2 linked regions of the Rattus norvegicus genome follow. The protein of the gene in region 2 interacts with the protein of the main gene of each other region in a pairwise test. Links are inferred from orthologs where the notes say so. Each region holds a gene or a part of one and is shown on either strand. Other genes may lie near its edges.

The links.
Region 1: the proteins of Trim32 (region 2) and Scgb1a1 interact in binary tests that used the Homo sapiens proteins (3 or more experiments, as listed by UniProt). The two-hybrid records come from large-scale screens. The link is inferred for Rattus norvegicus from reciprocal best matches to the Homo sapiens genes TRIM32 and SCGB1A1.

Annotation. Positions count from the first base shown.
Region 1 is NC_086019.1:215,405,508-215,412,940, forward strand, and holds Scgb1a1 (uteroglobin precursor), read right to left. Parts: upstream 4,180-7,433; 5' UTR 4,123-4,179; coding exon 4,068-4,122; intron 2,388-4,067; coding exon 2,200-2,387; intron 794-2,199; coding exon 746-793; 3' UTR 631-745; downstream 1-630. UniProt on the Homo sapiens protein: Binds phosphatidylcholine, phosphatidylinositol, polychlorinated biphenyls (PCB) and weakly progesterone, potent inhibitor of phospholipase A2.
Region 2 is NC_086023.1:84,018,076-84,025,508, forward strand, and holds the start of Trim32 (E3 ubiquitin-protein ligase TRIM32), read left to right. Parts: upstream 1-2,556; 5' UTR 2,557-2,613; intron 2,614-7,433. UniProt on the Homo sapiens protein: E3 ubiquitin ligase that plays a role in various biological processes including neural stem cell differentiation, innate immunity, inflammatory resonse and autophagy.

The DNA of each region.
Region 1 (7,433 bases), on a different chromosome or scaffold from region 2:
ATTGAGAACAGGGAGACAAGGGCTGGCATGGCCTTGTGCTGAACTTGAACGTTTATGGTTAGCATACTTTGTGCTTTAAAGGTTGGAAGGTAGGAGCACTGCTAAGATTTTACATGCGGTCAAACTCCCCGTGATGGATGCATGGTCATTGAATTACTTAGCAGTAAGTCAGCTGACAACCTAACAGCCGGGGATGATGGTGTGGTCAGTGGATATGGAGGGAGTGAATGACTTCCGAGATCTCCTCAGGTGATTGGACAAGGAAGGGCTAAGGGATGCCTATCAGGCTCCTGACCGGAATAGTGTAGCCCAGAGGATGGAGTTAGAATCCAGTAACATTTAGGACCAGACACGGGGAGGGAGGGATGGTATTGCAGGTCTGCTAGACAGGCTGGGTGGAACTGTGGAACAGATGGTGGGACCTCACTAGAGAGCATTTCAGTGGTAGCCTTCTATAGGGATAGATGCTAGACAACAGAAGTGTAGAGGAGAGGAGCCTTCTGGGATTTCTTGTGTGGCCCCAGGGCAGGACTCAGGTGTCTTCCCTTAGTTCTGGTTCACTTCATTCATTCCAGGACCAGCCTTTCTGGCTCAGCAGGTACAGAGAAGGACTAGTGCACACAGGCAAGTGAGATGCTCGAAGTTTATTGCAAAGAGGAAGGCGGGGTTGGTGTAGGGAGGTCAAGGAGGCAGAGGGCAATGACAGGGGCCTTTAGCGTAGAATATCTCTGAAATCCAGTGAGCTTCAGACTCTTAAATCTTGCTCACACAGAGGACTTGTTAGGATCTTCTCCTAGAATAAAGAACCCCGCCCCCCAAATAGTTAGTGAACCTTGGAGTAGACAGAGTAGTGGTGCAGAGACTTAACCGACAAAAGCCACAGTAAGATTTGAGAGGAATTGAGGGTTAGGAAGCCATGGATGGTTTTCTCAAAGACATCAATAAAAAAGGCAGGTAAAAAGTCATAGCTGCAAATGCTTCTGCCATCACACTTGACTCTGCGTTTGATCCACAGGACCCACGTGGTGGGAGGAAGGATCCAACTCCTTAAAGACTGTCCTCTGACCGCCGCATCTGCGACATACACATACACACTCCCACTAAGTAAATAAAATGTCAAAATTCTTATGGAAAAAAGTCAGTGCAGCTGGATGTGCAGGTCCAAGCTTATAGTTCTAGCCACTCAGGAGGCTGAGGTGGGAATAACACTTGACCCCAGGGGTTTGGGGACAGTGAGGCAAGCACACACACACTCACACACTCTCTCTCTCTCTCTCTCTCTCTCTCTCTCTCTCTCTCTCACACACACACACACACACACACACTCTCTCTCTCTCTCTCTCACACACACACTCTTACACACTCTCACACACACACTCTCTCTCTCACACACACACACTCTCTCTCACACACACACACTCTTACACACACTCACACACATACACTCACACACATACACTCACACACACACTCTCTCACACACACACTCTCACACACACACACTCTTACACACTCTCACACACACACTCTCTCTCACACACACTCACACACTCTCTCACACACACACTCTTACACACACTCTTACACACACTCACACACATACACTCACACACACACACACTCTCTCTCACACACACATACTCACACACATACTCATACACAGACACCCACACACACTCTCACACACACATTCACACACACACTCACACACATACACTCACACCCACACACACACATACTCACACACCCACTCACACACACACCCACTCACACACACTCACACACTCACTCACACATACTCTCTCTCACACACACACACTCTTACACACACTCACACACATACATACATACATACACACTCACACACACATTCACACACACACATTCACACACATACTCATACACAGACACCCACACACACTCACACATTCTCTCTCTCTCTCTCACACACACACTCTTACACACACTCACACACATACATACATACATACATACACACTCACACACACACATTCACACACATACTCATACAGACACACACACTCACACACACACACACACTCACACACACACACACACACACATGAAAAGGAAGGGTGCATGGCTAAGACAGTCATTAGCCTTTGTAACCCCCAAAATGGTGTGACACTGTGGTTGGAGAACCACTTAGAATCAGCATGAGGGACAGATGTTGCGTACCGTGAGCTTCACGATGTTTATTCTGGTCTCCTGTGGGAGGGTATCCACCAGCCTCTTCAGCTGGGTTCCTGCATTTTGCAGGTCTGAGGCAGGGTTGAAAGGCTTCAGGGCTGCCTCATAATTAGACTCTGAGCCTAGGAGGAGGGCCTCAAGGACTTGAAGAAATCCTGGGCAGATGTCCGAAGAGGCTGGAGTGCAGGCAAAAGGAAGCACATGAATGGAGCCCCTTCTCTAAGAGCCGCCAGCCGGCACTCTGCTGGACCAGCCAGTCTAGCAAGAGAGAGCAGCCTTTGGGTGGTACAGTGTAAGCTCTGGGAGGCTCCAAGCAGCTGAAAATCTGGCACTATGCAAGGACTTTCTAGGTTACAGCCAGCTTTTGTGGCTTTCCTGAGCTGCCTTTGGATTCCTGGCTTGGGTTGGCCATTGTTTCTGCCATCATTCTAGACAGAGTGTGTTACCAAAGCTGCCGGAGGCCTCTGGGAGTCCTGCTTTCTATCAGAATGTCTCTCACCCTTGGCTAGTGGCAGTCTGTGTCTTGTTACTGAGAACATGTGATACAGCCCTTACCCCAGTCCAGCATGGTCCCCAAACCTGGCCTGGAAGATGAAGGCACAAAAGGGCTCTTATCTGATGGCACAGTCATTTGCAGGTGAGACTCTCACCTCTCCATGTTCCCTGCAACTGCAGTGCTGTTTGGATGGTGCTGTCTGCTTGATTTCCTAGGGTTTGCGTCCACTTCTAACCTAGTCTCAAATTTCCTGCACTGGAATTCTCTGCATTGTTTGTAAATTTGACTTCACTGCTCTGTCTCAGGACCCTACTCCAAATGGCCACTCCAGCTAATGGCCATGCTAGCTGGGCATAACTCACAGTATCAGGGAGGCTGAGGCAGGATGGTTGTGAACTCAGACCAGAATGAGACCCTGCCTCCAAACCAAAAGATGGTCACTCCAACTTGAACCCTCTCTATAATATCATCACCAGGCAGGGTGTTTCATTTCCCAGTGGCTCAGTTTTCTAATCTGCAAAATGGGCACAACATCTCTACCTCACTGGGTTGTTACGAAAATGAAAGGGATAGTACGTAAAATGGCTGAGGTCAGCGACTGCCACGTTGTAAGTGGCACTAACGAGTTTTACAATCAGAGTTTTTAAAACGTGAGTACGTTGCTATGCAAATATCTTACCAGTCCACCCCTTCACATGTTTTAGCACTGTCTTGCTGAGCCACCCTCCTCTGTGCAGAGTACTGATATCTAATGAGTAAATATTTTAATTCAAAATGATACCTTCCGTCCTCCTCCCTCTTGCTCTCATTTCCCATTCCTTTCTGCATAGTGAAAGCAACAAGTATTCAGAGACCTCCGGTCCTTTCTCCAGAGGACAGAATGTTTAGGAAACTACGCCCTGAGCTGGCAGTTTTCCAAATGGAAGATCTTTTTCTGGAATATTCCTCTCCTCCCAGAACAAGCGACCTTGCCTTGGGTTTGAGGACATGAGTCTGTGTACTTCCCTTGCCAGACCAAACGCCAGCATTGGGTGGGACCCCCATTCCCAGCCCCTTCCCCCGAACCCCAACCTGGTGGCTGCATCAAAATCTCTTAGCGCCTTAAGCCAGTCCTAGTCCAGGCTTCAAAGGGCTCCTTATTCCTAGTCTGTTTTTGGACAGATGTGCTGGTCTAGATGGGCTCTCTCCAGCTTCCCCACAAGTCCCCTAGTCCCCGCAGTGGACTAGGTTCAAAGCTTTCCTCAAGATCACAAAATAGCGTTGGTTATCGGACTCAATGTTTCTGAGAGGCGTCGGCATATCCAGGCCTTCCAGGCAGCCACATCCTTCTGATCTTGGGAAAGCCACCCTGGGCACTCACCTGAGCTGCAGCAGATGGACAGCATGAGCACAGTGATTGTGATGGCGATCTTCATGGTAGAGGCCGGAGGCTTGGGCTGTCTGTAGATGTGGGCTGATGTTGTAATGTGAGGGTATGTGTGGGTATGTGTGGGTATGCGTGTGGCTTTTTATATGTTCCTGGCAGCCCACAAGAGGTAGGGGCAGGGATTGTGCTCCACTCAAGAAATTGCACTATTTACTTAGTCATCTCCATGCAATAAGCAAATAATCTCTTTTCATAAACCCAGTTTCTTTTCCCATTGAAACTGAGCTCACACAATAGGCCACTTGTGGGGTGTTTGGGCAATGGGCAGTGCGGGGGGGGGGCGTCGGGGAACCCAGAGGTCGTGGAACTGTAGGCACCTGTGTCCTCTTTAAAGTCAAGCACTGAGCACTCCAGGTTCCGGGAAGCAATTGTAGACTTGCCAACCCTGGAGAACCAGAGGCTGGAGACCCTTCAGGAATCAAGGGGAAGGACAAAGACCCCAGACTCCGTCCGAGATGTCACTAGGCTCCTTCTATTGCCTCCCTCCAAGGAAAGTGGCTAGACTTCAAGCCACAAAAATCACTTGATTCTTGGGCATTGTTGGCCAGGTTAGAGCCCACATACAATACACATGAACAAATATAAAGACTTCTCCATAGAACACATGAGAGACCCAGGGCCCAGACCGGGCTGGCTCCTACCCAGAGCAGCCCTCAAGTCCTACCAGTTGAAAGCACCTTCAGTCCTCATCTGACTTGACCCTCCCTTGCCCTTACCCTTTAGCCTCCCACTTCTTGCCCCATTCTCTCCAGGCCTCTCCCACACTCAGCTCTTTCCTGTTTTCTTTCCTTGGCCATTCTTTCTTATCCTTTCATGATGTTGACAGTTCTCAAGTGTTAGCCATTCCCAGGCTTTACCTTGGTCTCCTTGCTTCCCACGGCCATGTTCAGCGTTAACTCTTTTACTTCTCCAGTGCTTTTATGTCTTAGCATGGAACCTGGCTTGGCTGGAACCAACACCCTCTCTATTTCCACAAATCCCATTTAAACTTCCAGGTTGTCTCAAATGTTCACCTACCCACCCAATCAATAGATGCCCAGTACCTGCTACGGTGCTGGTGGGGCTGGACATCGGGGAAGACCTGAAGAGGCGCTTCGAGAGCTCATTTCATGAACTTCCTACCTAGTGTGGTCAGCCTGGAGCCTTCAGCTTCCAGTAACTGCAGGATCTGCCCCTGTACAGAACACTGCCTTGTTTAACGTCACATCCTCCCCAGGGCCGTTTGCATCTAATGACACATCAGGAAGGGGATTTAAAGTTGTGGGCATTTTGGGTTGCCTTTTTCCTAGTGGCCTTGGGCCCTTCAGATGCACTTTCCCATTGTTCTCAACTGTCCTGCGTATCAGTTCTCACTGTAGGCTTAGCTCATTTCTGTGTCTCTGGCCTGACCCCAGCTAGCACAGAGGCTGACATAGAGTTCTGATTCTGTTCCCCCACAGAATAGGTTTCTAAAGAGCATTTTATCTCTGTCTTTGAGTCCTAGAGTGAGATTGTCTCTACATACTTTCCCACTTCCAAATTCCAAACCAGTTATTAAACAGTGAAGCCTTCCTGGACCTGTGACATGGCCTCTTAGCGATACAGCCCTGTGGCTGTGTGCAGAATACTGTGAGTGTCAAATGTAGAGCCAGTTGTGTGTGTGTCACACACCTTTAATCCTAGCACTTGGGAGGCAGAGGGAGAGGCAGGTAGATTTCTGAGTTCATGGTCAGCCTGGCTATAGAATTCCTTCCAGGGCAGCCAGGGCAACCCAGAGGAGCCTTTCCTTGAATAAAATACAAACAAACAAAAAAACCCAAACCCTCCCCCCCCCAAAAAACCCAAACCAACTTAAAGAAAGAAAGGAAGGAAGGAAGAAAGAAAGAAAGTAAGTAAGAAAGTTAGTTTCAGGGCAGCCAGGGCTACACAGAGAAACCCTGTCTTGAAAAAAAACCCAAAACACTAAAACCAAACCAAACCAAACCTGAATGAATGAATGGATGGATGGATGGATGGATGGATGAATGAATGAATGAGGTGAACATAATGAGTTGGGGACATGGCTCAGTGGATATACTATGCCTATTGGGCAAGTATGAGGAACTGAATTTGGCTCTCAAACATTCATGCAAAAAAGCTAGATATGCCTTGAATTCCAGCCCTGGGGAGGTGGGGACCAGGGAAACCTGGAAACTGACTGATGAGCCCATCAAATGGGCAGGATTCAGATTCAGTGAGAAGTCCTGTCTGAAAAACAAGACTGTGGGTGACAGACGAAGACACCTGACGTTGACCTCTGACCTCCACCCTGTGCATGTGCACCCTTGCATGCATGCACGCACACGCGTGTGCACAACCTGTAGTGTGCACCCTCTGCTGCACAGAGGCCCTGCTACAGGGCTTAAGTTATTGGGTTTACAAGATGGTCTGGATCCTGCATTAGTTTCTGCCACGCGTCTCCTTTGTTCCCTTCAACACCTTCCTCCTTCTTCCAAGTTCACTTAATGGGGCTTCTCTCCCCACTTCACCCTTCCTTTCCGACTGGGTCTCTGGCTCAACTCATGAAAGGGCAATGCTGTTCTTGGGTGATGGCTTTGTTCAGATTCAGCGGGCAGAGGCTGGAGGTTGGTTTTGAGGCTGTGGTCGCCAGATTGCTACCGCCAAGAGTACTAGACAGGTTCTTCTATCCTGGCCCTTGGAAGAACCGTGTTTGACAGTGCCCTTTCCCCTGCCCTGGCATCTGTGAAACTCCTGCTTCTCTTAACTCCACAGAGCCCAGCTTGTTCTATTCCGGCAGCAGTGCCTCCCTAAAGCACCCTCCCACCCCCCCCCCCACATGCCCTACACTTTGATTTCCAGGATAGAACACCAAGCTTAGCACCTGGGGGAGGGCTGGGGACTACCATCTCTGGCTGCACTGGGGACAGGTATATTGTATAAAGACAAATTCCTTGGGAAAGAGAAGTCACTTGATTACTAGCACCATGATGGTGGTATTGAATTGGCAATTGCATTGTCTGTGACTGATTTTGAAGAGCCCTGATCCCTAGGTTGAAGGAGAGCTTTGACATCTGGGCTAGGAGTCTTCTGGAGTGATATAAATACTTCAGCCTGGTTTCAGAAAAGGTCAGGAAGAGCCTCGCTCACAGCCTGAGGGGACTGATTTCACGGACATTTCACCTGGGTCCTTAGGTCAGCTGGACCCTCCCCAACCCCATGCAGGCAGTGTGTGTGTGTGTGTGTGTGTGTGTGTGTGTGTGTGTGTGTGTGTGTGAATAACATGTGATTATGCCTGTGGGTGCCAGGTTGTTGGGCTGTGTA
Region 2 (7,433 bases):
TTAACAAATAGAAAAGATAGCTCCTCTCATAAAATGTGGGTTGTTTGTAAAGGGTGGTTTGGACTCTAGCTCTGTACTTCCGGGAGTTGACTGGCACATGCTATTTGGGGTTTCTTTATCCACCTACAGTGTTATTGAAAGGGTCAGTTATGATGAGTGAATGTCTATGAAGTACTAAGAAACTGCCCAACCCTTGCCCAACCCTTACTTTACTTATCCCACTGTATTCTATTGCAGCTACACTAACCTTAGGTCAGACAATTAAAAACAATTTAAAACCATTTGCCTAAGGGCACAGGTTTGTCATCCTCCCATTTAGGAGAATGGGTAAGGAGAACAGACAGCTTACAGGCAGACGGGACCACTAGCCTAATTTGCCTCTACGGTTGTGACAATGACCATGGCCAAAAGCAGCCTGGGAAGGACAGGGTTATTTGGTTCCCACATTCTGGTGCCAGTACATCATTAAGGGAAAACAAGGCAAAGGTTCAAGAAGGCCAGAACCCGGAGGCAGAACTAAAGCAGAGATAAAGGGGGGCTGGGGCTTCCTGGCTTGTTCACTAGGCCCTATGCTCAGTTACCTTTCCTATATCTCCCAGCACCATCTGCCTATCCATATGCCACTCCCATACTAATTATCAGTCAAGAAAATGCCCCGTAGACCTGGCTACAGGCTAAGGTAAGGTTCCTGGATGTGTCTAGATTTGTGTGAAGTTGATCAAACCAAACCAAACAACAAACCAAACAACAAATGAAACCAACAAATAACTTACCAGGACAGGTACATAGTGGGGTACAGGACAAACCTAGGTTATACCCCAAACCTTGCCTCAAATAAACAAAACAGGAACACAGTCATAGTTTGTTTTTAATGCAACCTGTTATACAGGTAGTTCCATGGTCCCAGACCGCTGAATTTCAGATGTCAGAAAAGGAGAGAGGATGGAACACTGTACTCCTCTCCTTTTTTGCTCCCAAAGTAATTCGGAGTCAAATAGGAATAAGCATAGCCTTGTCTCTCCCATATAACACACTTTACAGTGGAAGAGGTCTGTGAACATTCCTATTCCCAGAACAAAAAACTCCTAAGTCAAAATACTTAAATGCATCACGGGGCGACATCAGGTAGGTGGACTACAGCAAGCTAGGGAAATTTCTTGTATCTTTTCCAGATGTTATAACATTCTCAGCTTTAGAACTATTGGAAGCTAGTGGTCTTCCACTTTAAGGATACATTCCAACAGTTTTACCTAATAATCGCAAGTCAGAGTCAAAGGTTGGTAATAAGTGCCCATTCAGAGAACTAAAGATAGCTCAAGATAAACTTGATTAAGTGTGTATACCAGGTTTCTATCCTTTCACATTTGAAGTTCTAGGCATTTGGTCAGTCCATAGGATTGCCAGCACAGATAAAATTTCTTCAGAGAACTTCGAGTCACATGTTCTCTGAGCAGGTCTTGGGAGTTCTGGGTGGCTGGATTGGCTCAGGGCTCTAGAATTATCTGAGATAACAACACTGTACTCAGGGTAAAATTGTGTGAGAACTCCTGCATCGCCCAGAAGAGAGTCCAGTTGGAGAATGACTAGCCTGGTTCAGAGTTCCATCTAAACTGATGTCCTGTGGATATAGAACCTTGGACAAGTTGGGGATGGGGGGGGGGTAAATTTGCTTTTCCCATCTTTCTGAGTTCTAGTAATTCATCAAAACAACCCATAATTTTATTTCGAGATAAAGAAACGGAAAAATAAAACAAGGTTAAGAATGCTTCTCAGAAATTAAATCCAGGTTCTGGCAGGTAGAAACTGGTTACTTTGGTCTTTGACCCCTAGGTCTCAGTTTCTTTACCCAAAGTCTGTAGTTTGTAGGCAAGTGTTTAAAGATATTACTGGTTTTGTTTGTTGTCTTATCATCAGTGCAGAGGGTACTCAGCTTGGTGGAATTTCAAATATGAGAGCCTAGTATTTCAGATTCCTTCATATTCCCAACTAGTACTGTGTGTTCATCAGGTTCAAGAGCAGGTATTACCAGTCCCCATCAGGACCTGACCAGTCACTGGGCCACAGAACTGACCATCTGATAAGACTGAATGCAGGCTTTTCCTTGTTTTCTCCCTTTGCTATCCGCCTCCATGCTGTGAGGCAAAGAAAACCTCTTTCCTAAGTGCTGTGTATTCTGTGACTCCACTATGGGATGTGTCACAGGCAGAAAGACCTAGCCTGGGGACCTGCTGCTCTTTGAAGGGAGTGTGCTCGTCTTCCCTACATAAGATTAAAAGAGGCGTCTCTCTGTAAGGTGCCAGAACTTTCTGGAGACTACTACTGAGGGATTAGCATTGACTAACCCTGTTTAGACTCTGAAATAGCGCAGAAAGCTGGATCACACGCTGCAATGGCCTAGGTTTCTGAAGCCATCCCTACCCATTTAGCTGGGCCGCAGGCGCTGGGCCGTGGGCCTACAAGCCCCAGCATGCCTCGGGAGGCGGGGCAAGTTGACAGACAGGCGATTCTACAAATTGGCTATTGCCGTGGGATGTACGCGCTAGCGCATGCGCAGGAGGCAGCGGGCGGGTGGGCTGGCAGCGGTGGACTCGCGTCGGAGCCGCGGGCGGTCAGGTAGGGGGCGGGAAGGAGGGTCTGCGATCAGGGACTGTGGTGGGTCGCGGGGCTCCAAGATTGAATGGCAGAATTTGGGGACTGGATCTGAGTGGCAGGACCGGGTTGGGGAGGGACGGGCTCAGGAGCGATTCGGCGGGGCTGAGATGCAGCTGGGGGAGGGGAGCAAAGGGGCTGAGGAAATTTGCAGTTGCAGCATGTCGGGAGAGAGGTATGAGGTAATGTGGGGGCCATGCGGAGAGACGGGGTGCAGCATGTGTAAGATGCGAGGACCTGAAGTGCCTGGAGGTATCTGGGTGCATACTATCAGAAGCAGAAAGGAATTTGGCAGGCCTGGATGAGATTGGGTGTTGGCGGGCAGAATCTTAAGGGCTTTGAGGAGATCGGTGTAATGGTAGCAAGATCCGAGATCAAAACAGCCAGAGTCTTGGAAGATCCTAAATGCTGAAGAGAAAGGGATTTCTGTAGCGGAATCTGGGAAAGATTGAGGGGTGAGTTCCCAAGGGAATCAGTACCCAGTTAGCAAATCGCAGCAAAGGTTTGAAGGCAACACGTGAGGCAGGACGGGGGCGGGGGTGGGGAGGTTGGAGGTGGCACAGTACAAGATGGGGAATGCAGATGAGGGAAAAGGTTGAAGGAGGCAGAGTCTAAGGTACAGGATTGGAGTTTGGAGCTGCCATACGTGGGTGATAGGAGTGGAAGTTTGAAAATAGATGAAAGGATGTAGGGAGTTTGAAAATAGATGAAAGGATGTACCAGAGGGATGTGGGACACATAAGAGCTATTGGTGAGTTGCAGGGTTGCAACATACACAGTCTAAGAGGTTGAATTCTAGATTTGGGATTTATTGTTGAGAATGGGGTTTGTAAAGGATTGAATGGTGGGGAGTGAATGTTGTAACTAGATTGTACAATTCAAAACCAGGTGAAATTTCTGAGACCACTAAAGGAGGTGTTTGTTTGTTTGTTTGTTTTGTTTCTTGATTTCTGCATAATTGAACCCAGAGGGTGTTCTGAAGACCCAGGGACCTGAAAGTAATTTATAAATAAACTATGCATGAATGAATGGAATTTAGGAGAATGTAGGGGTTTGGAAATAAAGACACTGGTCTTCAGAAATCCTGAAGGAGAGTTTGACATTCTCTGAAGGGCAGAGTCTTCCTCACTTGCTAACTAAAGGCCCTTTAATCCTGAGGCAGACAGGTATTCTCACTAAATCCACTCTGACCACCCCAACTTCCCCACCACAGACTCAACATTATAGGCCTTGGGGAAGAACAATAAACTACCTAGGGGCTTTGCTACTTATCCCTTTCTCTGTACCCCTAAGCCCTCAAAGGTATAAGCCAAAATTATCTTAGATCTGACATCATTTTATAGAAGGTCTATTATAGCACAAAGAGGCAGTGATTCTATGAATGAAGTATTAGAATTGGGCGAGAAACAAAACAGGGTTGGAGCAAGGGAGAGCCTCACATGTACTGAGTATTTAGACTGTATCATTACCTAAAACCATAGTTCTCAGATAGGGTGGTTTTGTTCTGCCAGGAAACATTTGACCATGTCTGGATGGAGGCATTGTCAGTTGTCATAATTGAGGGGTTGTGGGGGTCTACTGATTTCTAGTGAACAACCCCCACAATAAACTGTCACCTAGCCAGAAATGCCAATCATGCCACAAATGAGGGACCTAGCAAGAGAGTCAAGAATTCTGGGTCCAAATCCTGGCTTTTTCTCTTCCTGCTTTGAAATCTTAAGACTTATTTGACCTCTCAATGCACAAGTTTGACCTCTCAATGCACAAGCTCTTCAGAGACCTGCATCCTAGGATTGCTGTACGGACTCAGTGAAATAAATCGGGGTACTTACTGTCTAGTGCCTAGTAAGTGTTAAGAATTTACTACTCTCAAAGATCTATGTGTACTTTCTTCTCATGGCAGTCCTTCTAAATATACTTTCTATGTCCAGTGTGACACATGAAACTAAGGCTTAGGAGATCACTTGTGTAAAGCCACATCACCAAAACTGGCAGAAGTAAACTGCCGTGTAAATTGCCACCACAGAATCTCCCCTCTTGCTTCTTTGCTGCAGTCGTCTTGGTCCTCCCTTTTCAGACTTTCCTAATGAAAAGGAGGCTTGCCCCATATTCAAAAGTGGGGTGACTTTTCTTGATCAGCAGAAGCCCTGGACTTTGTTCTTGCTTTGCTCTTAGACCAGAACCAGTGGGGAGATAGTGCAAGGAGTTTGGAGCTACGAAGCTGAGATAAGAAGACTCTGGCCCAAGGACAGTGCTAGACTGAAGGAGACTGCTCTGAATACCCTCCTTTGTGTATTTTGGTCTCAGGAACAGAAAGGTAGCATTGTCTTTATCAACTCCAAACCTAGCTACATTACAGGAGGCAATTTCCTAGTTAAAATCAGACTGGAGCTGAGGGCAGAACACTTGACTGTGATATCCACACAGATCACTTCTGGAAACACATGATGGAGCAGGTTCAGTTAGCCTTGGAATCAGGTGTTTTACTGCTTGTTTGGTGGTCAAGCACTAGTCAGCCTCTGTCTATAAACAGAGTGAACTCCACTGAGTGCTGACTAGTGTACATTCTCTCCATAAAGCTCACAATGTAAATGTTGCTCTTGATTCCATAAGGTGGGAAGTTAATAGGTAAGTTGCATGACATATCCTGGGCTTCAGAGCCTATGGCTAAGTGGGCATGTGAATCAGAAGTCACAAGTTGGCAAGCCTCCTAAAGTATGCCCCTCCGTATGCAGATGGTGTTACATTTTGAAGACTTCTTCCATTGTGCCTTTCTGATAGGACAGTATGGTTTAAAAGTCATTCCTGGATGAATTTACCCACCTGTTAGCCATATCTTGCCTGCAGGTAACAGTAGTCATATCCTCTATGAAAGTACATGTTTCAAGTGGGCCCTGTTGTGGCATAGTTCACATGTGGGCATCTGAGGGATGACGCTACTACAGTCCATGGTGGTAGAACCTGGACAGGTTACTTTTTTCTGAGTGTTAATTAGGATGTGGACTAACACTTCCTTCACAGAGTTAAGAGAACACATGTGATGTGTAGAAGGTGCCTGGCACTCACTACCCCAGGTGGCAGTTAGAAGATATGGTTTTAGCTATTAGCAGGCATCATAAGTGCCCCCAATCTAAAGTTCACAGACTTGTCTCCCTGGCCAGAGCTAAGGGAATGGTGAGTTTTGTTAGTGAGTGGCCTTTGTGGCACTGAGACCGGTTCACACTTGGTTCAAACTGGGTTAAAGTGCATAAGAAATAAAGCTTGAGTGCTGGCCCAAAAGGGAGTGATTAGTCTCTAAACAAAATAAAAGCACCCACAAACCACATGAGCATATTAATTGTAGAATGTTCCTTCATATCAAATTTTTAGATTTTTTTTTTTTTATATCTCTTTCTAAAAGTTGTCTCCATCCCCATCTTGTCGGGGCTAAACTAGTGGTAAATGCTTAATAAAGACCAGCTTCTTTAATTGTTTAAGGTTCTCCAGGTTTGCTTATGGCCCAATCGCCCAAGGAACAAGATGGGCATAGGAAATAAAGGTGTCTAAAGAATTCCGTTAGATTGAAATCAAGTACTCAAACTTTGGCTCTGCTTGAGATCAAATAGCAATCTCCCAGGAGGCCCTGAGTTTAGATTATTTAACTGGATGTCTAGCGCCTTAGATATCTGCCTTACGACAGGTGCCTGTTCATTTCATATCACAGGCTGGCTGGTGGCTATGGCAAGCAGTAGCAATTGCAGCCACTGCTGCTAATAATAATAAAGGCTCATCTACACAGTTAATTCTGTGCCTAACTTGGTGCTGTCCAAAGTGCTTTAGCTTAGTGTCTTCTCCTCGCCTGTGAGAAGGGATCACCTTAAAAGGCCATTTCATATATAAGCTGAGATGTTAAGTAACCTTTCAGATCTTCACTGTAAGTGGTAGAGCTGGGATCTAAAGCCAGAGTGCTCTGGTCCTGAATGTACTTAATGCTTGTAGCACCATTAGTTTCTAGCCTGTTCCCCTTTGCTGGAGTTCTGCCCTGTGATGTGTGAGTAGCTAGTCTTCCCCTCTTGGTCTCAGTTTCCTCATTTGTAGTACTCTGGGTCACAGCTCACTCTAGCTCTGTGTATTTAGTCTCTGCTAGAAGGGGCCTCAGTAGTTGCTATGTTAATTAAAGTGGTGATTTCATTTACTCCTTGCTTCCTAGCCTAGGTGACCACCTTCTCAACTGAATCCCTCCCAAGTTAACTTGGCCTTTGAGTGATCTTTATGTGCCTTTGCAGCCCATGAAAGGATAATTCTCCATTCCTTTCAAAACTTAGATTACAAACTGAATTGTTTGCTAATACCAGGACTGTTTATGATTCTTAATGCTCTTGATTGCTAACAGAATTAGGTTAAATAGTCACTGTCATCAACTATGTTTAGTCACTGCTTGCCTGCCAGTTATCAGCCTAAGTATCTACATGTATTATCCCTAGTTTTCATGGTAATTTTCTTTTTTTTCTTTTCTTTCTTTCTTTTTTTTTTAAACTAAGAAAATAGGTAGAGAGGCGTTAAAGCATTTGTCAGGCCTAGAATGTCTGAATAACTTGCCAGGCATGGAAAAGTTAAGTAATCTGTCAGGTCTAGAGATATTAGGTAATTTGCTACCCCCCCCCCCCCCGTAAGTGAAGACAGGAAATTTTGTCTTGTTCTGTCTCACCTCAAGGTTTATGTTATTTGCTTACTCTTTGTTCTTTCAACTCCCTAGCTACCTGTTTCACCAACTGGCAAAACTCAGGGGTGTCAAGAGGGGAGAA